2 linked regions of the Arabidopsis thaliana genome follow. The protein of the gene in region 2 interacts with the protein of the main gene of each other region in a biochemical or structural test. Each region holds a gene or a part of one and is shown on either strand. Other genes may lie near its edges.

Region 1 (13,375 bases), on a different chromosome or scaffold from region 2:
CTAATATATATATTAACATTTCTTAGAAAATAAATATAAAATTAGACCGAATTTTTTTTTTTTTTTTTTTTTTGGTTGGAGCGACTAAATTTCTCCATCGGCGAAAGAAAAAAAAAACAAAACGAAAAAAAAAAAAAGTTTCTCGATTCAACAAGCGTCCCTTCCTCCTTGGGGATTCACAGGTTTGCTTCTTCGTCGATTTGATTCTTTGAATCTTTTTTTCCCCTAGGTTTAGGTTTCGCTATTGTTTCTACGATCGAAACTAGGTCTCTCTATTGTTTACTGCAACATTTGATTCTCAATTTCATATCACCGATTTGTGTTTATCCCCTGGAATTAGGAATGATTAGGGTTCAGATCTCGTAGGCAATGAATTTAGGGTTAGAGAAATAGCATCTGTTTGGTTTGTTTACCTAAAGAATGAACCCTAAAGGCTTTGTTCTGTTTTACGATTTTGTTTAAGGTCTTAGTTTTTATCTTTAGCTCTTGTCATTCTTAAGCATGTTGTTAGTTGTTACTATTAAGAACTTTTATTCTCTGTTCTTGTATTTTGGTACCTTATGAAATTAGTCTTTTATGCAGATTTTGAAAGCTAATCTTCAGCTATGAGCACAGCAACAAGGCCTTCCTCTTCAGCAACAACTTCTGTCATATTAGAAAACCCTGTTTCTCAATCACAACCTACTGAAAGATTAGTGCTTCGGTTGAACCGGAAGAAGAAGAAAGTTTCATGGAAAGATGGGACTGTAGACAATGAGTTTATGCAGAAGAAGAGTTCGAAGAAGTGTTGCATCTTTCATAAACAGAAGCCTTTTGATGAGGATGACAGTGAAGAAGAAGATGATAACAACCATCACTGTGATCATAACCATGAACACTCCGAATCTGGTGAGGCATCTTCTTCTAATGATTCTAAAGCCGTTGACTAATCAATCAGGTTTTTTCACGTTACTATATATTGAAGCTTTTTAATAGATCATGGAAGAACACACATTTGTTGTTTTGGTCTCTTCTCCTATCTAACCCTGGTTGGGCGTTATGTATATGTACAAGTAATTTGCAGATTCATTGCAATGTTAACTCCTTCATACTCTGTTGAAAATGATGTGAATCATTGAAGATTGCTAATTAGTTAAAGAATTACAAGGATGTTATATTTTCTTTCTACATTTGAATATGCTTTTGCTTTTGCTTTTGCGACTGCATACTATTTCTCAAAATGCAATGTTCGGGTTTCATCAATTAAAAGATGAGCACTATATTATTTTCCCAGTAGAATAGGATTTGCAAAGGGTAAGTATAATGTTTGGGTTTCATTGGCCGATGTTGGGATCAATGCAGCTTCTGGATCAGATGGGTTGTGATTAGGATCGATAAAAAAATATGACCGATATGGCAGAACGATGTAGCTACTGGTCGGATGGTTTGGTTGGCTAGATCGGTGGCTCTATGACCATGATGGTTGATCGATGCGGGTTATTTAGTTGGCTCCAGGGATATTGGATCTGCATTTGACTGATGGGCACGGCCAATGTGGCTTATGAGGGTTGTTTGAGGAGTCCTAGATCAGTCATTGGTGAGACCGATCCCATGGCCGTACTGGTTCTGTTATTTCTTTGTTCCCCGGTCCTTCTTTGACCAAAACTCCGTCTTTTCCGCAAACTCTAGGCACAAGTTAGGATATCTAAAGACACCCGAAATCCTTAACATAGATAAGAAAACAAAAATAAAGCTTCAAACTCAAATTTTTCTTACTATTTTTAATCTCCACTAAACCAACATTAAGTCATAAATCCACTATCAGTTGTTCATTATTATCGAATAATTTAACTTTTGTACTTGATCAATTATTTTGGAATATTTTTGATGTTAATCATGATTCATGATTAATATGTGGGCTGGATAATCATGGGTCTCTCTATTTTTCTAGTCTGTAAAGTTTGATCGAAACTGAGAGCATTTTAAAATATTTAAATCGAGATATAGAAATAACTTGTCTCATATACTACTAATATCAAATGCCTTTGTTCTTATTCTACACACATCTCAATCACTTATGTGGTGTATATGTTGAGCATTGTTAAATCTTAAACTATTGTTTTCCAAATTAAGCAATAATGACAACAATCTTAACATAATTTCACAAGTACATGTAAATTTTCAACTAAACAAACACTAAAAGTAAACTCTAATTTATTTTTCTAAATAAAATAAGAGAGTAAATTAGTTATGAATTAAAAAAAAGCTAAAACCACAACAAAAAGCAACTTGGGTTTGGTTCATGTTTACTCATTGTTTTGTCCTATACGTCAACCAAATCTCTCATTTGATCGGATCTTAATATTAATATGGTTCTCTCAATATTTTCTTAAGAATATTCTCCACCTTAAGAGTTTAATCTCAATAATATATTACAACGAGTTATTGAATATTAGAGAGATGTTTTACAATATAAACTTGAGGGAAAATATAAAAGCTGCAATCTTGTAATTGTAAGCCATTAGAGAGACAAATATGTAAAATAACAAGTTGAGTTATCATAAATCCCACCTTAGTCCTTTACCATAAACACTCGTGCACTATATAATCGTCACTAGAAGAGTATAAGTAATGAAGTATTAATATTCCTACAAGATAGTAATAGTTGGTTAATATCAATAGATTATAATTACGTTTTGAGAATGGGAGGTTTAGGCTCACCATGTGGAGGATGCAAGTTCTTGCGTAGGAAATGTGTAGAGGGTTGTGTATTTGCACCATACTTTTGCTACGAAGAAGGATCTTCTAATTTTGCAGCCATTCACAAAGTGTTTGGAGCTAGCAACTTCTCTAAGCTCATTTCTCATCTCCCTGATCATGACCGATGTGACGCCGTACGAACCATCTCTTACGAGGCTCACTCTCGTCTCCATGATCCTATTTACGGCTGCGTCTCCCAAATCTTCTCCCTCCAACAACAGGTATTATACTTTTTCTTCGGAAATGTATACATAATTTTTTTTTGCTTTTGCTTCATCATCTCTAGTGTACTTACAAGTAACTTCACTGACTTTGTTCTTAAGGTTGTTAGTTTACAAGCACAAGTGGTTCTACTTAGAGAAGAAGCTTCGAGAAGGTTCCCTCAAGATGATCCTGGTTGTAATATGAAGCAACAAGAAAAGGTTCTTGCTCAACAAATGCCACAAGATCTTCACAATTGGTTTCACCAAGGAATCTTGGACTCAGACTTCGACCCAATGAGTGGTACTACACGCGACAATGAGCGGTCCATGGATCATAATGAGTCTCCTTGTAGCTCAAATGAATCACTTAATTACTACCAGGAGGTCAATTTTCCTTGGTCTGTTTGAGTACAAGTGACTACTTTGTCAGAGATGGAACCTTACAATCTTTCTATTGTATCGACTTTTCGACATTTTTCATAGTAGAGATCGAATCATGCAACCATTTTCTCTTTGAGAATAACCACTTCTTCGATGATCTTTCATAGGTACAACATCAGATCTGAACAAGTGTCAAGTCTTAAGAAGTGTCATTACTGAGAAAAAGCATAACAAAATGTAGTGTACGCTGTTTTAAAACCAGAAACATCTACAACGCCAGAGAGTTAAATCTGTGACTACATGTTGGATTCGATTTATCAAAAGACATTTAGTTACAAAAGTTAAGTCTTCGTGTTGGATTCGATTTCCCAAAAAAACATTTAGTTAACAGAAGTGACGTCTTCTTGTTTGGTTCAGGCTCATCTCTTGTGCTTAAACCTTACTTTCAACAAGAACTGCAACTTCACCTGTTCAGAGACAAAGCAATCTTTGTCAGACATGTACACACCATAAAAGAATCAAACACAGAATATGTTGCAAAACTAATAGCTAAAGCCGTATTCTAAAGCATGAGCTTTCTAGGGAATTCAGTTCTCATTCCCAAGTACCCGATAAGAACAAAAGAGGACTTTAGTGTGTGCGCAATATCCCATTGTTGTAAGGAACAAGGAAGATTATTTTGGAAACACAAGTTACCTGGGCTGTATCGTAGACGATATACTCATTGTACATAAGCTCAGAAGCCTTGACCTTTGATGAAACAGGTTTTCCACAGGGAACAGTCACATCACCTCTCCACTTGGCAAACTCGGAATCTTGAGGCACTTTCTTGCCGAGCCCTTTGGTCGAGTGTTTCCCTCTCGGAGGTTTATCCATATACTAAAGAATTGAGGACATAAGAGAAAGTCATATATGAAGGTAAGTAATATCTTAAGTTGTTCATATAGTTTTCAAGATAAGAACCAAATGGTTAGTAGCATAACCTGAAAAACTGTAATATGGGCTCACCTTAGCTTTTGTTAGCTCATGTATTTCTCCCAATGCAACTTCACTCAGAAGCATTAGACCCACCGGATTTTTCTTACAAGTGTAGCAGTACTGAGCACTTTTACTGACAAGGTCAGCAAAGTATATCCCTTTTCCAAACTGAAACATGGGGTTTAAAAAAAGTTCAGATTCTCTAACAAGTTAACTAGATAGTGAAGAACTCTCAATTGATAAGATCCCCACAAATAAGACACAGATAGAGTACTGACCATGTAACCAGTAGCAGGAGCTTCTGGAGGTGCAATTCTCAGTCCTTGGTTCAATATTCCAACAAAATTCGTTAATCGAGAACCTGAAAGCAGATTTATTTTGGTTAAACCAAGGGTTTTGATGATCAACCAGCCAAATATATAGAATCAACCAAACAATGAAATTTCTTGTATCTGTTTCCCAAAGCATGTAAATGTGGCTGGTTGCAGTTGGCTTACCATGCCATAGGAGCATCTTATTGCCAAGTTTTTCTCTGTGGGGAGCATATTTATCAAACTCTCCTTCTCTTTCAAGAGCAAAAACTTCCTCTAGCTCAAGACTCCACTCCTGACAAATCCAGTGACCAGAAATTGAATTAGAAAATTATGATAAACAAAACATGAAAAGGGATAAACAGAGCTTGAACTCACTGTATGCGTTGGGGCATGAGTTGTGTTAAGATACTTCTCGATTAATCGATAATCTTCGCTATCATGAGGAAGTGGTGAGATATCGCAATGCAGCTTCTTATACTTATCATCAAGAGATTCGGTGCTATCAACATCAAAGCCAACTATTCTTGAAGCTATTTCGATATCCTGCAGAGCCTCGAGCATTTTCACCTGTGACACACAGATACAATACCTCTTTGTAACACAGAAAAAGAGGCTAGGAATTAAAAAACAACACCATGGTTCATGTTCTATGGCAAGTACCTTTGACTTAAAGTCATCTTCATCTCGGATAATATGAGGATGAATAGAAGGGATCATGGTAAAAAATCTGTTACTAGCATCAACAAGCAAGCTTTCTTTCATAGTAGGCTGGGGGTCGCTTTCAGTCAATAGCCTCTGTATCTCCGTCAATGCCTCAAAACCTTTAGAAGAACAAACAAGAAAAAACATAATAGAATGTAATGTAGAATTAACATTTTATTATTTTTATCATATAAAAAAGTAAACTAGAGAAGTAGGAGTTACCCTTCTGTATATTATGTTTGCTGAGCTTCCCAAGTGGCATCTCTGACATATTTATCTCGAACTCCATCATTGCAGATCTGCGGAAGTAATTATTAGGTTACTTCATACAGTTTCTAGGGAGAGAAGAGGAGAAGAAGACAATGGCAAATAAGTTTCTAACCTGTAAGTTTCCACATCAAAAAGCATCTTCATCAATTCTATTAATGATGGAGCAAGGTTGCTACTGGTCTGAAATGGCTCTTTTTTGGCTACTTGCTTATTAACTCCATAATCCTAAAACAAACGATACAAAAGAGTTTATTGAACGATACATAAGAGAATCTTAAGAGACAAAGATATAGTCATATGGATGCTTACAATGTCCAACGGGAGAAATTTTCCAGGTTGTTTCTGGAAATTCGTTTTTTGTTCCCAAGATTCCCATGTGTTTCCGGTTTTTTCAAGAAATAGACGTTTGAATTCGTGAACCGCATCAGACTTTGACATTTCCTCCACTTTGTTACCACCAATCTTTTCATTTCCAACTCGGCCCCATTTACGAAATACGTAACAATCTGAACCTTTATCTTCTTGGATTATCTGGAGTATGTAATAACTATTGATACCGGTAGAGAGATCAGACATGCTCAGAGTTGTGTTATAGATACTGTTCCCATCTTCAAGAATGTGACAGTGCTCTTGGAGGCCAGACGCTTCATGCACAGCGCTTCGTCCTTTTACTTTAACAGTGACAAGGCTCTCACTAGTGTCTTCAATTTTGTACTTGTCAAATGGAAGTTTCCTCTGTTTTTTAAAACAATCAACCAAATAATCCTCTCTCACGATTGCCACTTTCATCCTCCTGCCACACATTTATCAACTCCAGCGTTCAAAGTGAGAAAAAATAGTGTGACAAAGTTAAAGAGTATCAGCACAATGAAGGCAATATTCTACCTTGCCTTTCTCATTTCAGCGTCTCTGATATCTGTCAGTCCACAAACAACCAAACAGCTTGTACCTACAAATTTGTGAAACAGAGATATTCAAAAGCTAAAACTAGTGTCACAATAATCAAAAATAGACACTCGAGTTATCCATACCTTTTTTAACATTAGCATGAAACTCTGCACCAGCTTCCTCAATTCTCTTCTTCCATGGTTGCTGCAAAATGATCCCATCAAGCAATGAAGTGCAAAGATAGTCTACAATATAATTTTTGACAGAAGAACATACCCTTTCCTTAGTATTTCCAGCAATTGAAACTTTAAGATCTGCTAGCCTTTCACTCCTTGAGGAGTCAGTTGCATCTTTAGAACCTTGACCCTGAGATGTCTCGCCAGACAATACAGGACGCAGAATACGTTTTGGCTTCACACTCTTTTGAGACTTATTCCACTGCAAGTAATCAAAATATAAATATTAACTTCATGAGTAATATATACCACATCTAACCTAACCCATACCAATATCAACTCTACAAAAAGACTGGTTTACCTTCAGAAGGAATTGATTTTCTGTTTCGTCAGGGATTTTCCACTTCCCTTTGATGCGGTCTGGATCCAAAGTGGAATGAGAACATTTGCTCCATTCTGAGATGTATCCATGGCATCGGTAAAGTCCTCCGGAGAAAGAAAGATGCCCAGAGCACATTGGGCAGAGAGCGAGTGGGCCAAACATCATGCCATCAGCACTAAATAGAAACAAATAGAGAGGTTAGGCATATGATTATGCATCGGTTTCTCTAATCCAAATTACCTTTAAGAAGATCCACACAACAGTAACAGAAATAGAACAAAAGACAAGCAATTAACTTCCAGACAGATTCGCAAAGTAATTTACCATTTATCACGCAGATCAAGTTCAGATCCTCTTGTACTTTGTTCATTTACTTCAAGCATTTCCCGCAACTCAGCTGATGTTACATATTTTTTCAGATCATCCTTCAGGTCCCACAATTCCTTAGTTTGGGCCTCCATTTCCTTTTCTTTGCTACAAGGTTGTAAAGCACCACTTGTAGACATGTCAAAACTACTTTTTGCTAGTTTCGACTTCTCGTTATCAACAGAATCATTTTTTCGTTTTGTGCCTGCTCTTGAATTTGTTTGACGTGCTTCTGCTGTCTCTGTCCCAGTTGGGCCAAAATAAATTAACGGAAAGATCAGACTAAAGTACTGCAAATCAGGATCCTGTAACAAGGAAATCAATATATTACCGTACACCTTAAGACTCTTACCAGTTTTGGCTGCCGGCAGAGCTTTCTTCACTAAGGGAAGAAGAGCTTCTTGGTCTGAGTCTGGTATACTTCTCCATCCAGACAAACTTTCCAGTTCAGTAGAGGAAGACATTTCAAGGAAACATTTAGCGTGATGCCACATCAAACCTTTGTTACCCGGGCCTTCAGGCTTGGAGAATATACGTACCTGGAAAACAAAAATGCAAAACAAAACCCTAATGCATATCGAACCAGTTCATATAAAACGCTACAACCATGACAGATGAAGTAGAACAACAATTTACCTCTCCTTTCAAGATCTTTTCGCTACACTTTCTGCAACCGGCACGAGAAGTTTGTGACACTTCAATCCCATATTCTAGTTTGGCATTATTAGCGGTACTGCTCGTGCTTGTGCCTGTGCTTGTGCTTGTGTTACTCCCTGCTCCAGATTCGACATATTTTCTAATCTTTTGCTGATCTTCCCAACGAAGTGATTCTATGCCTTCAACATCATCAACTCTAGCAAAATCAAGAGACAAAAACGAGTTAATAGCCAAACACTTTAAATATTTGTTCAAAGTGACATTGGTTTTACATACGATTTTATCTGCTTCGTCTTCTTTAGTATACAAGAAGCATGGTTCCACATCTGTGTGAGAAAAATAAAAGTACAAAGAGGATAGTCAGCTAGGAAAACTTCATGTCAACTGGAGCTAAAAGCAACATATAATTAACATGGTGAAGTGAAGCAGCATGAAGAAGGAACTACATAGTGAAAAGAAGAAGAGAAGAATGACCACTGCCATTCCATTAAACAACAAGCATAAAAGCTCATGAAAAACACAGCTGATTGCAATCATAGCATTGGCGGCATAAAGATATCAAAACACAGCTAAACAAACGATTATGATCATCCAAACAGAATAACGTCAGAGTTCCAAAGGGAATAATAGGAGTTCACATACGTCATTGCAGAAAAGCACGAACCTTTTGGCAATCATCAAGTACTAAATAAACACACAAGTGACTCAAATTTAAGCTTCAAATGCTCTTTTATCACATTCGATTAGGCACAAAAGGAGGAAAGAACATAATGTGAGGAAGGTTAACATCTATTTAAGAAGTTAAAAAAGTTCCAATTTTGAGATAGAAAACAAGCTTGACACACACACACACACAAATTTGCAAGGAATGTAGAACAGTGGAAGCAGAGAGAACAGGATTGAACCCTCAAAAATAACCAATTTCAACCAAATAAACCCAATTTGTCTGACAATAATTCTAAAAGAATCAATTTTGTCCTCAAAATCAGAAAGAAACATTAGAACGCACACTAACAAGCACGAGAGTATAGTACAGAGACAGTTCCAAATTCTGGGAGAGAAAAGAGAGTCATACGGGCATGATGCCATCGAAGTGAGTAGATTGAACCAACTTTCCAAGACGAAAGTTCTCCTTGTTAATGACGGACTTGCAAGTTTTACATGAAGACCTCGACGACTTTGCATACTCCGCCCTCCACGGCTTATGTGGGCTTGCCATTTCTCCGGTAAGAGACAATTACACAATGCGAGAGTACTATTTATACGTATGGCTTCTCTATCGAAGATGATTATGATGACGACGGATTGAGGAATGTTTCAGGTGAGAGTAAAGCTTCTCGGCGACGCTTTTCCAGATTGTGTTTCTACCGTTTAACCCTTTTTCCCTTTTTTACCCTAAAAAGTCTGTTTTAAGATTATTGCTTTCAATTATTATTTTGATAATCAGATTTATTCAATGATTTAATTTGATATCAGATTAGTAAATCAATAATTTGCACCCTCCGTTATGCAATAGACGATGATTACTATCACTTGTTGTTTTATATTTTTGAGACAGGAAGAAAAGATTATGTGAACATAAAATTATGGCTATAAAATGACAATAGGGAATTGAAAAAAGAAAAAAGAAAATAGCATTGGTGAAAAATATATTAACAAAAAAAATCAACAAATCATGGACGAATTCGCAGAATCCGTCGAACGATTGAATCATGGTGGTTGTATATTTCGGAAAACATCTGTACATTTCTAGTTTACATTGGAACAAAAATGAGAATTTTGACCACGTAAGAGCTACATTGCTAAATTAAATCCGACATGTTTTGTGTTAGTTTTCGAAACAGCAGTTAGCGTCTCTTTGAGGTTAGAAGCTTGGTATAGGGTAGAGATTGTTCGTAATAACGACGATAAGGTCTCGAGATTTTTGGAACTGTGACAATTACGCGAATGTCCATCTTTAATTCGGCGTTCAGAATCAGTGTTTCTTCTTGAAAAACTGCTAGTTGAATTTCTCATTTAGTTTATTTGTTGTGTTTTTGTTTCGATTTTTTTTTTTTTTAGCTTTGCAGCCTTTTTTCGCTATAATTATATGATTGCATTTTCCATCAAAATTTTCAGAATATTGTACTAACAAAAAAAATCCAACATGTACTACAAGAAGCAAAAAAATATGAAATTGATCACCATAATTTGTCAGAAAATCAAACCGGGAATACACTAATCAAGTTGGACCGTAATAACATCCCGGGTGCATTTTCCTCCTATTTGCTTAAAAATTCGTGAGACGCGTGATCTTCTTCGCCCTTCCGTATGAGCAAGAAATCTTGCGGTCCAAGACAAAACCGGTTTACGTGTTAACTTGTTTAATCAGTCTCAATCTTTATTTTCTAGTTCAAATGTCGAGAACCAATTTTTTCCAACTAAAAAGTCAATCCATAAGAATCCAAGTAAACCCTCCCTGACGACAAAAAAAAAGTAAACCCTCCCTCTCTATATATTTAACTCATATTCATATCTTTCAATGCGACACAAAAGAGTAAACGAACTTACTACAAATACTTTTTAGTACAAAGAAACAAAGTTAAAGTGATGATTATGAAGAATTAAGTAATCTTTGGAGTGATTATGCTTGCCATTTTTGTGGTTTTCTTGGACTCCACAAAAGTAGAAGCCACGAGGATGTTAAGAATCACCTTCGATAGTGATATCCGGTTCGTGTTCGAGTCCTTGCAGAAGGGTACGGTCCCTGGATCTGGTCCTAACCGTTGCTCTCACATCCCCAAAGGCTCGGGTTCGTGCCACGGATGATCCCTCTTGTGAATCTCAAGCTTGATCTCAATACCAAAATTTGGACTATGGGTGGAACTTTTTGTATTCATTTTTGTTGTATACGAGAAACTATGCTTTACATGTTCTTGTAAGTTGTAACAAAGCTATGAGAGCAAATTTGTTTGAAAGTATAAGTTTGTTTAACAAATTTGTAATAGTACTGGAAATGTTTGATAACCGGAATAATAGTCTTCTTATTTGGTTTAAGAGACGATAAATGATTCAGATTGTATAAACCGGTTCATATTGGTTCGATTGTATAAACCGGTTGAGATTGGTTCGAGTTGAAATTTGTTCTTCGTTGGCGAGAGATCCTTGAACGCTTAAACCCTCCATGGTTTTGGATTGAACATTTCCCCTGAGATTTGGGAGTGTCCTTAAACCCCATACACTGATCGAGCTCAAGAAGAAGGAGAAGCAGAGAAATGGTGAATAAACATTGGAAGATAATTCCAAAGCCGCTTCTAGAAACAGTTCTCAACAACCATGTCCAACGCCACCGTGTTCCTCAGCCTCTCATCCTCCATGGTCCTCGTGGCGTCGGCAAAACCACATTGATCCTCAACCGTAAAATCCTCTCTTTGAATCCCTAATTTCCCCAATTTTGTTCAAATGATCGTACCTTTGATTCGTTCCCGATCTCGTTCTTATTAGGTCTACTCGGAGATTGGAACAAAGGGCCACATCTCGCTGGCTATGTAGATTTTGCGCAATCGATAACGGAACACCATCCAGATCACCACCAATCATATCCATGGACGTCTTGGACCAGTGTTGACCCACCGTTGTTGTCCAATTGCAAAACCCAGCTCGAGAATTGTCTTGAATCTATGAGTCACAAAGCTATCAAACTTGGGAGTATAAGCTCGCAGCAGATTTTCACTACTATGAACAAATGGTATGGTCTTAATACTGCACTTCGTCGTATACTTCAGGGTTATAACATTGCTGTTCCAGAGAAAGTCTCGGTTTCATTTCTCTGGGAACGGGCTGTGTATGCCCTATCTGTTCGACAAAATGCCGATGAGATTGATGGGTTGCTTGAATTGGAAGAGAAAGGTAATAGCTTGTCCGTTGAAGAGGCTTCGTATTATAGAGAGACTGCTTTTGCGTTAAGATTGGCTAAAGAGGTTATTAAGGTGCACCAGGGTTGGAAAGCCAATGCCATTGCTCATCTTAATCGAACTAATGGGTTTTCGAGAACTTTAGCGAATTCATGTACTGATTGGCCGTTGCTAATGCTTGAGTTGTTATCACAAGCTGCAGAGATTGGCTTCTTCCAGGTAATGGAATAGATAAGTAATGGAATGGAATCTTTGATCTTATGAGTGGTAAACAGTAAATGTATTCATCTGGAAACAGTTTGCCAACTATTGATGTTATTTTTGTTTGTCTCTATTTCTTGTTTCATTTGACAGCCTAAGCTGGTCTTGAACAACATTGAAATCTTGAAGAGGGCTATTCAGACTGATGATTCAACAGTCTCAGCGTCAATGTACCATGACAATCTTATTTGGAGAATAATAGCGTTAGGTGCGAATGAGCGCTGTCTACCTGTCCTATTCGTGACTTCGGACAGGTTTGTCCTGTTTTTTGTTAGCATTTTTGGGTTTAATAAGGACAATCTGTTACTATCTGATGATTACGTGGTCTCTTAATCTAGCCTTTAAGTTTCAATTTCTCAACACTAGAGGGGAAACTGGTTTCTGACTTGTATCACTTTGTAGTATGCCATTAAGTTACCGAAAGTCTGAATAATCATTTTCCATTCTGAACTTGGCTCTTAGTTACAGAAATGTCTTTTGAAACTTTTTTATCATTTTATCTGATGTCTAATAATTTGAATTATGACAGCTACTATTCATATCAAGCCTTTGTTGACTACGGGTTTCCAGACATTTTCATCTCTCGTGAGGTATAGAAGCTACATGTATACATCTAAGTAAACTATTGATTCTGTGTGTATTTGTGTGAGCATGTATTGGTAATTTGATATATTATGTAGAGTTTCCCCGTCTCACCTTCATTATATCAACATGAAAGTTCATTTTTTATTTTTCTTCATTCTACCTTTCTTACGTTGCACTTTGGCTTTGTTTCATTTGTAGACATTTGGATGGAATCCTCAAGAAGCAAAATTACACATGGTTCCTGATTACTTCAGTGCTTCGGAGGTGAGAAAAATGCTGTAGGTAATGGCACTGCTTGTTTAATGAAACCAAAATATGTGACAACTCTAAAACCTAATAATATCAAACCAGAAAGGTTGAATGATCTTTTATGCTAAAATTTTACTGGTCATTCTTTTTTTAATTGAGATGCTGTATATTACTAGAGGTTTAACATATGTTGGAATTGTAGTGGACTATCATTGCTGATGTTCTTGGTGCGAATTCTCGGCATCTATTTGAGCTTTATGCGCTTAAACAAAGTAATCATTACCAGAGGTAATGGTTTCCTGTTCTTTCGTTTGCTCTAATCTCAAAATGT
Region 2 (10,900 bases):
TGATTTGCGTAATTTCCACTCATGATTTGGCTATACACCTAATTACTCCATATTTATATATAATAGTGAAACCTTGTAGCTTATGGATCACCATTATCTAATTAAAGTGTAGTTGCCATTATTGATATTTGCATGGGAGAATAAATATGCTGACCAATTTTTCACTAAAGTCTCAATGACCTTAGTTGTAGAAATATATATAAAACAATGTTTTTATGGTGGAAAACTTTCAGAAAAGATTCCACTCATCTCTCTTTCTCACCATAGTTGATGCATCCACATTTGAGCCAACAAGCCAATAGCATTAGATTCATAAAGAAAAAAACTTAAACGTACGTACAAATATGCAATAAACAAATTAGTGATCATTGATCAATAACCATCATTTTTATAACAAAAAGTGGTTTTTCACATATCTATGAATAACCCCATCGATAAATAATTTGTGCTCTTGATGTTTCGGGACTTATAATATGAATGTAATTAAGGATATTATAGATTCTTCTCAATAGAGTTTCAATATGGATGGAAACTCCTAACAATTACCTTTCATGGTCTCTTTCTATCTCTATATCTCTTCCTTTGTGCTCTTATAAAACGAAAGCAATAAGTATATGAAATCCATGCTTCTTTACTGATGTATGCATAGAAGACTAATATATATATATATATATATGAAGATATATAAAGAGTGATGAAAGGGGAGAATAAAAAATTGTTGGTGAGTGTGAATGTTCTTGGAAGTGTTGGCCCTATAAGGTTTTTGGCCAATGAAGACGATGAAGTTTCAAGTGTTATTAACACAACCTTGAAAGCCTATGCTCGTCAAGGGAGGATCCCGGTTCTAGGGTTCGAAGTGGATAACCTCAATTTCTATTCCATTAACGCCGGATTCAGTAGTATTTTCCATCCACCACTATTTAGTTTGTTCTCTTAGAATCACCTAAATTCTAGATTAATCTTGACCCGCTTATAAAAAATCGCATTAGTTGTTTAACGTTGTGTGTACAAATTTTGGTATAAAATTCTAAATCGAAAGTAATTTGATATTTGTTTATCATTTTTTTGGTGTTAGAATTGAATACACACAAGAGAAGATAGGATCAATGGATGTAACGAATTCCTTGTTGTGCATGAAAGAGCCAAGACCATTGGAAAAAGTCCAAAGAAAAATAGAGAGTAAAGCATCAATCTTTTGGAGGGACCATGCATCACCACTGGATCAAACAACACTTGGTTACTATCCATGATCTTTGCATATAAATAAGGAAGCCTATCCTCAAAGGTAAGGAAATATACAATATAATATCCATCTTTTTCAAGTAGTTTGACCCTAAAAATGACATTACATCCTTTTTCACCACTCTTGTTCAAAATTTCAATGAGTACTGTATCCATAGTGATTTGCATTATTTCCACCCATAGTTTGGCTATATACTTTTAATTAATCCACGTTTATATATGTTAGTGAAACATAGCTTATATATGTTTTACTATTTTCTAAATTCTAGTTGCTATTATTGATCTTTTGCATGGGAGAATAAATATGTTGACCTATTCGTTCACTAAAGTCTCCATTATGATTTATGCACATTAGTTGTAAATAATATAAAAAGGTTTTAGTGGTGGAATAGTTTCAGAAGAGATTCCACACATCTCTCCACCATAGGTGATATGCTTAGCTTCTTCATTTGAGCCAACAAGCTCTAATAGCATTAGATCCTCCAAATTTTCTATCGTACACTAAACTTACTAGTGACCAATAACCATTAATTTATTAACAAATTTAGACCCGCTTTAGTGGTTCTTAACATATCTATGATTATCAATAACCCCACAAAACTAAAATTCGTAGCCTTGATAGAAAATCTCTCTAACCTATTGTGTCGAGACTTATATATGCATGTAAGCATATATATTATAGGGTTATTCTCATATAGTCTCAATGGATGGAACTCCTAACACTTACCTTTCATGTTGTCTTCTCTTCCTTTAATTTATGCATCTATAAAACGGAAGCAGTAAGCAAGTAAGTTTCATTCTTCTTTAATGGTCTATACAAAGAAAAAGGATGAATAGAAATGAGAATGTAAAAGGAGTGATGAAAAGGAAGAATAAAAAGTTATTGGTGAGTGTGAATGTTCTTGGAAGTGTTGGTCCTATAAGGTTTTTGGCCAACGAAGACGATGAAGTTTCAAGTGCTATTAACACAACTTTGAAAGCCTATGCTCGTCAAGGCAGGATCCCGGTTCTAGGGTTTGATGTCGACAACTTCATTTTCTACTCCATTAATGCCGGATTCAACAGTATTCTACTCCACTCTTGCTTGTTCTCTCGGAGTCCGTGAATTCTAGATTAGTCTTGAGATCGGTTCAAGATTTACATGGCTAAAACAGAAAATCACCAAAACAATTTGCATCCTTAACCTTGTGTGTACAAAATATTGTATAAAGTACTCATTGAGCGTAATTTGATTTGACTGTTTACATTTTTGGTGTTAGCTTTGCATCCACAAGAGAAGATAGGTTCAATGGATGTAACAAATTTCTTGATGTGCAAGAAAGAGCCACGGCCACTGGAGAAAGTCGAAGGTATAAGAGAGAGTAGAGCTCGGATAGGCCATGGATGGAAAACTACTCATCTTCTTCGGTTTTTATTAGGATATATTCCTTACAATCACAAACCTAACTCTACAAGTCAAATGGACTATAGATCATTCGGTGATGGGAACGCTTATTGTATAGAGGAGTACCAACAAGAGTTTCAAAGGATTACCAAAATAAAGGAATACCAACGAGAGTTTCAAAGGTTCTAGTCTTCTAGAATAAATTTGGGATGGAAGCAAAATGCATTGGTCGACAGCCTTTCGAGATATACTTTACAATTCAATTGTGGACAATGATGGGATTATACAAAATATTTGAAAAACTACATTCTAAAGATCTCTATACATTTTGGTTTATACTAGTTCTGAAATCTAAATCTAAATCTAAACAGAATTTGACCGCCAATTTACCATGTACTAGAGACATTTTGCAAGAAAACTTGATCCATGAACTTACTTGACTAAGATTAAGAACAACTAATGGACGGTATCTTCGAATATATGAATACTAGTAAAGTCGTTTGCAAAATATTCAATTCAAAACAAATGTCTCTAAGTTGTACATGGTAAAATGGCAATCAAATTCTATTTGAATTTCATAATTTTGAATGGGAAAAATCTTGAAAAAAACTCTAACTAATTTTTATTTGGACGTTTAATACTCAATTGTTTTTAGTTGGAAGAAAATTACACGAAGTTATAAAACTGTACAATTTAATACTCACGATCTCACCACAAAAATAAAATTCTAATTTTATCCTTACCATCTTAATTAACTATTAATTTTTTAGATTATATGATATTAATTTTATAATTTTGGATAAAATTTATTTTTTAAAATTTTTTATTTTATGGCGTCTAAAAATTTTAAATGTCATTTTTAACTAGAATTATTTTATTTTAAAATTTAACATAAAAATTAGGAGAAAATCACAAATATTTTTTAAAAAGATCTTTAGAATGTAGTTTTCATGATTATATTCTAAAGATCTCTATATATTTTCGTCTCTATACTAATTATGAAATTCAAATAGAATTTGACTGCCAATTTACCATGTACTAGAGACATTCTAAGTTTTTGCAAGAAAAGTTGATCTATGGACCATATCTTCGAATTTATCCCTACATTATTAAAAGGGAAGTACAAATTGAAATTTTGTCTAAATTTGGCTTCAATTTTGATTTCAATTTTGGATTTTGTTCTTTGCTATTCAAAATCATTAAGAGTAATTTGGTATTAACAATCTCCTAAACTTTATATGATCCGATTCAATCTAAACCGTTCAATAAAATTAATTCCCTTCAATCTAAACCGTTTAACAAAATAAAGAATTTATGTCGTTTTTGAAATCAAAATATGATCACATTCCATCCCTAAAACACTATACTCAATCACAAAATCAATAATCGATAATATCCAAATCATATATTACGATTCTTCACTAATCACTAGATATTTATATTTATAAATTTAAAATATCAAATTTATTCAAATATTTAGTATAAAAACCAAATCTACCGATTGCCCGCGATTGCCCGCGGGTTAAATTCTAGTGTATACTAGTAAAGTCGTTTGCAAAATATTCATTTCAAAACAATGGTCTCTAGTACATCGTAAATTGGCAATCAAATTCTATTTGAATTTCGAAATTTCGATAGAGACGAAAATAACCTTCTAAGTGTTCTATAATTACGAAATTGTCCTTACCCTAGACTTAAACCCCATATTTTCTTCCTCCATCCCTTCTCTGCTAAATTCTGTCTGATCTAAAAAATCAACGAACACAAAACTCATCAAAGCTCCTCAAAACCCTAAACACAGTCTCTCCATCTTCTTCAATCTCTCTCTCGTTCGGATTCTCATCTCTTCTTCTGGTAATTTCTTCTTCTTCTTCTTCTATCTTCTTGCGAACCATTCGTGCTCTTGAACCATCTTACTTGATTAATTTCGTTCTATTCTCATCTGCTTGCACGCAATTATTAGTTTTCGTTTCAATAACTATGACTAGGTTAATATAGGATATAGATCTAGGGTTTCAATCGATGTTATGTTTGATTTGAGAACTATAGATTTCCCTCGTAAGTGATCTAGGGTTTATCTGATTAGCTCTCAATCTGATTGGATTGATTTGTTTCTCATGAGCCTTTGTGTTTTTCTACACTGGGTAGCTCTAAAATTGCAATTTTGATTGAAATTTATTGTTTGGGTCATTAAGCTAGTGCTTGTTTGAGTTAGAAGATAAGCCAGTTTTATGATTATGATATGTTTTTCTTGTTCATGTTTTTGGTGGTAACTAAACACTCCTTCTCTAATTTATGCAGGTTTCAGATTGAGTCTTGTTACTGTGTTTCATAAGACTATTGAAGTTAAGATGTCTGGAGCATTGAATATGACTCTTGATGAGATTGTTAAGAGGGGTAAAACTGCAAGGTCTGGGGGAAGAGGGATTTCTCGTGGGCGTGGTCGTGGACGTGGTGGTGGTGGAAGAGGAGCTGGACCTGCTAGAAGAGGTCCTCTTGCTGTGAATGCTCGTCCATCATCTTTCACCATTAACAAGGCAAGCTCAAAATCTGGGATCTTCTATGTGTATGATTTGGAAATCTGAGTTTCTGTGAAGCATTTACTTCATCATACTATATCTAAACGATGGGAGAAGCAGGTTTTCCTGTCCATGCGGAAAGCCTTACTTCTGATGATAGTTTGACATTCTTTAGCATTGAGAACATCGCCTAGGAACATGCTTCTTTCTAGTTCATGGAGATGTTTTCATTTAGGAATGCCTCTTACCCCTGCAGTTTCAGTGTACTTTGTGGTTTATGTTGTTAATTGTGAGGACTTTGGCAGACAAGTTATTGGTTGCTTTTGCGACAGTACTTAGAACCTGAGGAGCTTCAGTAAGATGAAGATCAAAATTTGTTCTTCCAGTACAATTAGACATGTTGTGCATTTCCGTCACACAGTTTCAAATCCTCAAAAGATGTGTGGTGTTGTAGTAAATATAGTGACTTACCCTCCTAACCCCTACACAGTCTTAACTGTATCATGCATGAAGTTATTGATGAACGTCCTGCTGCATTTGGAATTTCTTCAGCATGCTATGAGCGTCGGTTTTTCTTTTATCATCATAGCCTTGGTACAAAGAATTTGTTTTGGAACCGGAGCATAGTCGGTCAAACTCATTGTTCCTCCATTTCATTTGGTTTTCTCATTGGGTGGTTCTTGACTACTCGGTGGAGCTCTTTGCTTTGACTGGGTTTCCCTCTTCCAGGCATATGGGTGGTCACTTCTTTGGAATTGTTTTTCATTGACGCTGTTTTTGAAGTTCGACAGACATCTTGTACTGAAATGATTCTGTTCTATTGAATAGCCTGTCCGTAGGGTCAGGAGCTTGCCATGGCAAAGCGGTTTGTTTGAAGATGGCCTAAGAGCTGCCGGGGCATCAGGAGTTGAAGTTGGAACCAGGCTCCATGTTACAAATCTGGACCAGGGTGTGACAAATGAAGATATAAGGGTATAATCAGACTTCTATAATTTGTGCATTTGGTTTCTTAGAGGGGAGCCAGACACTAAAATGTATCTTCATGGGATCTAGGAACTCTTCTCTGAGATTGGGGAGGTAGAGCGTTATGCGATTCATTATGACAAAAATGGGCGTCCAAGTGTAAGTCCTCACAAATCTTTATCAGTCCCATTCTCTTCATGATTTTGAAAAAGTTTTATCTTGTATGCTCTTTCTAACAGGGATTTTGTTTTGTGCCATGTAACTATAGGGCACAGCTGAAGTGGTGTATCCAAGAAGAAGTGATGCATTTCAAGCTCTGAAGAAATATAACAATGTGCTATTGGATGGAAGGCCAATGAGACTTGAGATTTTGGGTGGCAACAATTCTTCCGAGGCTCCTTTATCTGGTCGTGTGAATGTGAATGTCACTGGACTCAATGGAAGGCTGAAGAGGACGGTTGTTATCCAGTATGAATTTCTGTCTTTTCTTTTTGTTTTCTCAGTAATCGCATGAATAACTGTTGTGAGACTAAATCCAAGACTTACACAATCTTCTCTGATGCTTGTAGACAAGGAGGAGGAGGGAGAGGAAGAGTTAGAGGTGGGAGAGGAGGAAGAGGTCCAGCTCCTACTGTCAGTCGCCGCCTTCCAATGTAAGTATAAATCTGTTTCTCTTAATTCGTTTAGCGGAGAACCGAACTGAGATTTGTCAACTGCATTCCATATTAAACTGCATGGTCACAAAAGTTTTGTTCCTATTTTTGTGTAACCAAACCGAATAAATCAAAATTCGTAGTTAATTGATTTTCGTTTGTTTCGGTTAATGTTTTAATTTGCACTTGTTTTCTCTTGGTGGCAGTCATAACCAGCAGGGAGGAGGGATGAGAGGAGGAAGAGGCGGGTTTCGTGCTAGAGGGCGTGGTAATGGTGGCCGTGGTCGTGGTGGTGGAAGAGGAAATGGAAAGAAGCCAGTGGAGAAGTCAGCTGCTGATCTTGACAAAGATCTTGAGAGCTATCACGCTGATGCCATGAACACCTCTTAAATCGTGTTGTGTTGTTCTTACTAAACTAGTTTCAGATGAAATCATGCTTCTCTTTTTTTCATGCTCTTCGTTGGTTTTGTTGGATGTTGATTGTAAAGTAAATGGAAGCCTTTTAGAATCTAGCTGTCTTAAATTTTCTTTTATATAAAGAGTGATTTAAAGTTACCAAGTGAACTGTTTTAAGATCGGTTTTACTCATCAAATTCAGAAGTCTAGAGAGAATTAGGTTTTACATTGTAATGAAAAAAGTGAGTCTGATTGTGAACAAAAATTTCTCAGACCAATTTAACCGGATTATAGACATTCTCACACATCCATAAAGCCTAGAAAATTTACAAAACTGAGTTAAAGAAAAAAAAAACACACACCATTGAATCACAACCATCAACCTGACGCAAGCCTATCTACCTTTCAGGAACAACGTTATCGTTGAGAACGAATTCTCCTGAATTGCTTCGATGGAAAAGCTTGTCCACAACTTCATCCCAATTCTTCTTCTTTGTTTTCAACTCCGCGGATGCTTCTCCATTGTTGCATTCTTCTTCTTCTTCCGCGGTGGACACTGCGTGTGGGATATTAAGACTCACGGCTCTCTCCAACGCATCTTTGTGCTCTTTCTCTAAAGTACTTAACCTCTCCATTCTCTTCTCTTTTGGTGCCATTGTTACCACTGTCTCTGAACTCTTCTCTCTCAATATCTGTAACCACACACCACAAAACCCACCATTTATAAAAAGAAGCCTAACTAGTCCCTTACTATTTTGTGCAAAGATAGTAAAAAAATTTGTAGCAACAACACAATTAAAGATTTTATACTCTTAACAAAATCGTCGAAAATCTAAATCTTAAATCCTGTAACCTTACTTAAGCCTTATAAACTAAATCCTAAATCCTTAGCCCTAACCATTGATCTAAAACATAAAAATGCAGAAATTAAATGTCACCTGCAATGCCTTTTCTGCTTCTCTTTCTATCCATAGAATCGCATGATCCGATGTTGCATTCGATGATAATACTATATGCTCAAATCTACCATCAACGGGAATCGCGGTTCTCACTTCGGGAGGAAACCTTCCACATCTAAATACAAAAAATAATCAGAGGAAAAACAAACAAAAATTGCTAAGAAATGCCACACTAACTTCATTATTACCTGCAAAATTTCCGCTCAACGATATGATAAATTCGACCAGGAGCATAAAGCCTTCTAGGATCTCTTAGTTTCCGACCTTCCGGTATAAATGTATCCCTCAGACAAACTAGAAACAACAAGCACGGCAAGCTGTCCGAACAACGAATACAAAATGTTGAACTATACCTATAACAAATTCATTCCAACAAGAGCATTTTCGAAGTTCGACACTTACCAGAATACAGACTTGAATATATCCTCTAATGGTGTCGCTGTTCTCGGTAAAAAATCATCCTATTATTCCACAAACACTAAGTTTTGTTAAAATTCTTAGTAAAATACCTTACTCTATAAAAATTCTCTCTATAGACAGATACCTTTCTTAACAACTAAACAACCTCCAAAACTAGTACAAAATTTAGCAGAATATTCTGACCAAACTCAAGAAGCAAAATGAAAAATTCAATTCGTCGATTCATTGTATAAAGCAAAAGCATATTCTGAACTTACGAAACAGGATTATGACAATGCTTGGTCAACAATGAACCAACCACCACCATCCAACAAGACAGTTACAAATATAATCCAAATTTTATATCAAAACTATAAATATATTCAACTCTTTACATAACCAAAAAAATTAGTTGTCAGAAATCAATCTCTAACCCCAAAAACAACTAAACCATAACACCCTTAACTTAAATACAAGTGATTTAACATTTCTAATATATTATTCTTTGTTAAAAAATCAATTTTTGTAAAAATCTTTTAACTAACATTGAGATCATTAAAACATGGTTAAATTTTTTTACCTGCAAAATGACGGAGGAGATGACGTCAGCATACTTAACGGCGAGATTAAGCGACATACATCTCGCCGGAGCCAAAGCAAAACATCGAACCTTATTCCTCGGAATATCACCAATCATCGCCGGAGTATTAACAACCAAAACCGCCATCAACGCCGCAACACCAGAACCCAAAGAATGACCAGCAAAAACCAAATCATACTCTCTACCATTCTCTTCCCAAACTCTCCAAAGAGTCTCAGATTCTTGATTCAAAACCCAAGCCGCAGATTTCAACAACCCACGATGCACATAACCACCACCAAGCATTTTCTGACCTAATTTGTTATCTAACAGAATCTTGTAATCACTCTCTTTAGCTAAGTTCAAGCCACGAATCGCTAAAACAATCTCACGGTGGTCGTGATCTATGTAGATAATGTACGGTGGAGATCTTCCTTGGGTTTTTTCGTGTGTCACACGTTTGATGACCCATTCAGGGTTTAGATCGAAAGTTCCTAACGAAGGTGAGATTTTAGGGTTTCTGAGATCGGGTTCGTAGACGGCGAGGATTACTCGGCTGATTCTTGGGATTGGTTCGAATTCTTCCGGTGTTGCTGATGTCCACGTGGCGCTATCGTCTGAGCCTACGTGTGTGCATCGTTTCCATGCCCATCTACTGAATCCTACACAGAAGACACATTCTAGTCCACAAGCTACTGACATTTTTGACCCAAAGGTGAGATTTTTTTTTTTTGAAATTAGAGATTTTTGGTTTCAGAAATCAGAGGAAAGATTGAAACTTTTTGGCTCAAAGATGAGATTAGAGAATTTGGGTTTCAGAAATCAGATGAAAGATTAAAAATTTGAGATAAAGGTGAGATTTTTAGAACTATGAATTGGTTTGAGAGAAGACAAAATTTTGACTCAAAGTTGAGATTTTTAGGAGATGGGTACAGAGAGGAGATGGAATTAGAAGACTTGGTTTTTGATTTTTTTCAGAGGAAGAGAATCTGAAATTTGAGACAAGAGAAATTGGTCAAATTTCGAGGTCGAATGGGAAATTAGAGAACTTGAGATTTGATGAATATACAGTAAAGAAAAAATATTAAAATTTGAGGAAATACATGGAAAAAAAAAAGTTGTAATAAGAGCCAAAAGGGATAAAGAAGAAGAAGAAACCAGCTAAGTATAAAGACAGATAAGCGAGATTATCTCTCTTTCTGGGTGTTTCGAGACAGAGACAGGCAAGAAGCCCAAAAAGCAAGAATTGAAGAACTTGTCCATTTTCCCATGTTTTGTAATAAAAAAACGCCCAACTTTATTCCGTTTTATTTATTTACTCCTTTTGTTATTTTTAATTAATTTTCTAAAAAAAAAATATTTAAAATATATATTAAATCTGATCATAAAGAATATTCAATTATTTTTATTGAAGTTTAAAATACATCAATAATACTGCATATAAAACCTAAAAAATTAATGTTTAAAAAACATTTTTTTTCCTACAAAAATCAAATAAAAATGAAGAGTATTAGTTTACACAAATCTTGTAAATTGTGAAAATCTTTGATCCCCTCCCATTGATTTTTTAAAAAGTGAAAATATTTTTAACTATTTTTAAGGGTATTTTAATTAATTGTTTTTGTCTGAATGAGTTATAAAAACTCTTAAGGTGTGTAAATATGTTTTGTTGATTTGTCTATAATTATTACTATAAACTGATATTAGTAAAATTGACAAATTGATATGTGTAGACAAATTGCATTGTTGGTTATGAATAATGAAAATTCAGTTCTAGTAATGTAAAATTGGTAAACTAGGAACCG

What was found.
Region 1: the proteins of ALY4 (region 2) and PARP1 form a complex in vitro, tested with the Arabidopsis thaliana proteins (one study listed by BioGRID).

Annotation. Positions count from the first base shown.
Region 1 is NC_003071.7:13,350,304-13,363,678, forward strand, and holds PARP1 (poly(ADP-ribose) polymerase 2), read right to left. Parts: upstream 9,448-13,375; 5' UTR 9,276-9,447; coding exon 9,132-9,275; intron 8,383-9,131; coding exon 8,333-8,382; intron 8,253-8,332; coding exon 8,036-8,252; intron 7,939-8,035; coding exon 7,752-7,938; intron 7,641-7,751; coding exon 7,358-7,640; intron 7,209-7,357; coding exon 7,013-7,208; intron 6,914-7,012; coding exon 6,752-6,913; intron 6,680-6,751; coding exon 6,619-6,679; intron 6,537-6,618; coding exon 6,473-6,536; intron 6,381-6,472; coding exon 5,897-6,380; intron 5,813-5,896; coding exon 5,700-5,812; intron 5,617-5,699; coding exon 5,540-5,616; intron 5,437-5,539; coding exon 5,276-5,436; intron 5,183-5,275; coding exon 4,991-5,182; intron 4,908-4,990; coding exon 4,799-4,907; intron 4,663-4,798; coding exon 4,580-4,662; intron 4,470-4,579; coding exon 4,332-4,469; intron 4,203-4,331; coding exon 4,020-4,202; intron 3,791-4,019; coding exon 3,743-3,790; 3' UTR 3,445-3,742; and 1 more. Other genes in the region: INH3 (inhibitor-3), read left to right, coding at 606-929; LBD14 (LOB domain-containing protein 14), read left to right, coding at 2,682-2,960, 3,063-3,350; AT2G31335 (uncharacterized protein), read left to right, coding at 10,682-10,864; emb1381 (embryo defective 1381), read left to right, coding at 11,311-11,452, 11,540-12,168, 12,304-12,464, 12,740-12,800, 12,994-13,059, 13,247-13,332. UniProt on the Arabidopsis thaliana protein: Involved in the base excision repair (BER) pathway, by catalyzing the poly(ADP-ribosyl)ation of a limited number of acceptor proteins involved in chromatin architecture and in DNA metabolism.
Region 2 is NC_003076.8:14,978,056-14,988,955, reverse strand, and holds ALY4 (ALWAYS EARLY 4), read left to right. Parts: upstream 1-4,303; 5' UTR 4,304-4,480; intron 4,481-4,927; 5' UTR 4,928-4,977; coding exon 4,978-5,163; intron 5,164-5,973; coding exon 5,974-6,117; intron 6,118-6,198; coding exon 6,199-6,267; intron 6,268-6,376; coding exon 6,377-6,576; intron 6,577-6,677; coding exon 6,678-6,761; intron 6,762-6,967; coding exon 6,968-7,151; 3' UTR 7,152-7,337; downstream 7,338-10,900. Other genes in the region: AT5G37730 (uncharacterized protein), read left to right, coding at 2,072-2,306, 2,502-2,815; AT5G37710 (alpha/beta-Hydrolases superfamily protein), read right to left, coding at 7,556-7,849, 8,096-8,231, 8,305-8,433, 8,519-8,577, 9,096-9,797; AT5G37715 (uncharacterized protein), read left to right, coding at 9,511-9,534, 9,853-9,933. UniProt on the Arabidopsis thaliana protein: Export adapter involved in nuclear export of spliced and unspliced mRNA. Plays a role in disease resistance. Mediates multiple defense responses triggered by NEP1, including stomatal closure, hypersensitive cell death (HCD) and defense-related gene expression.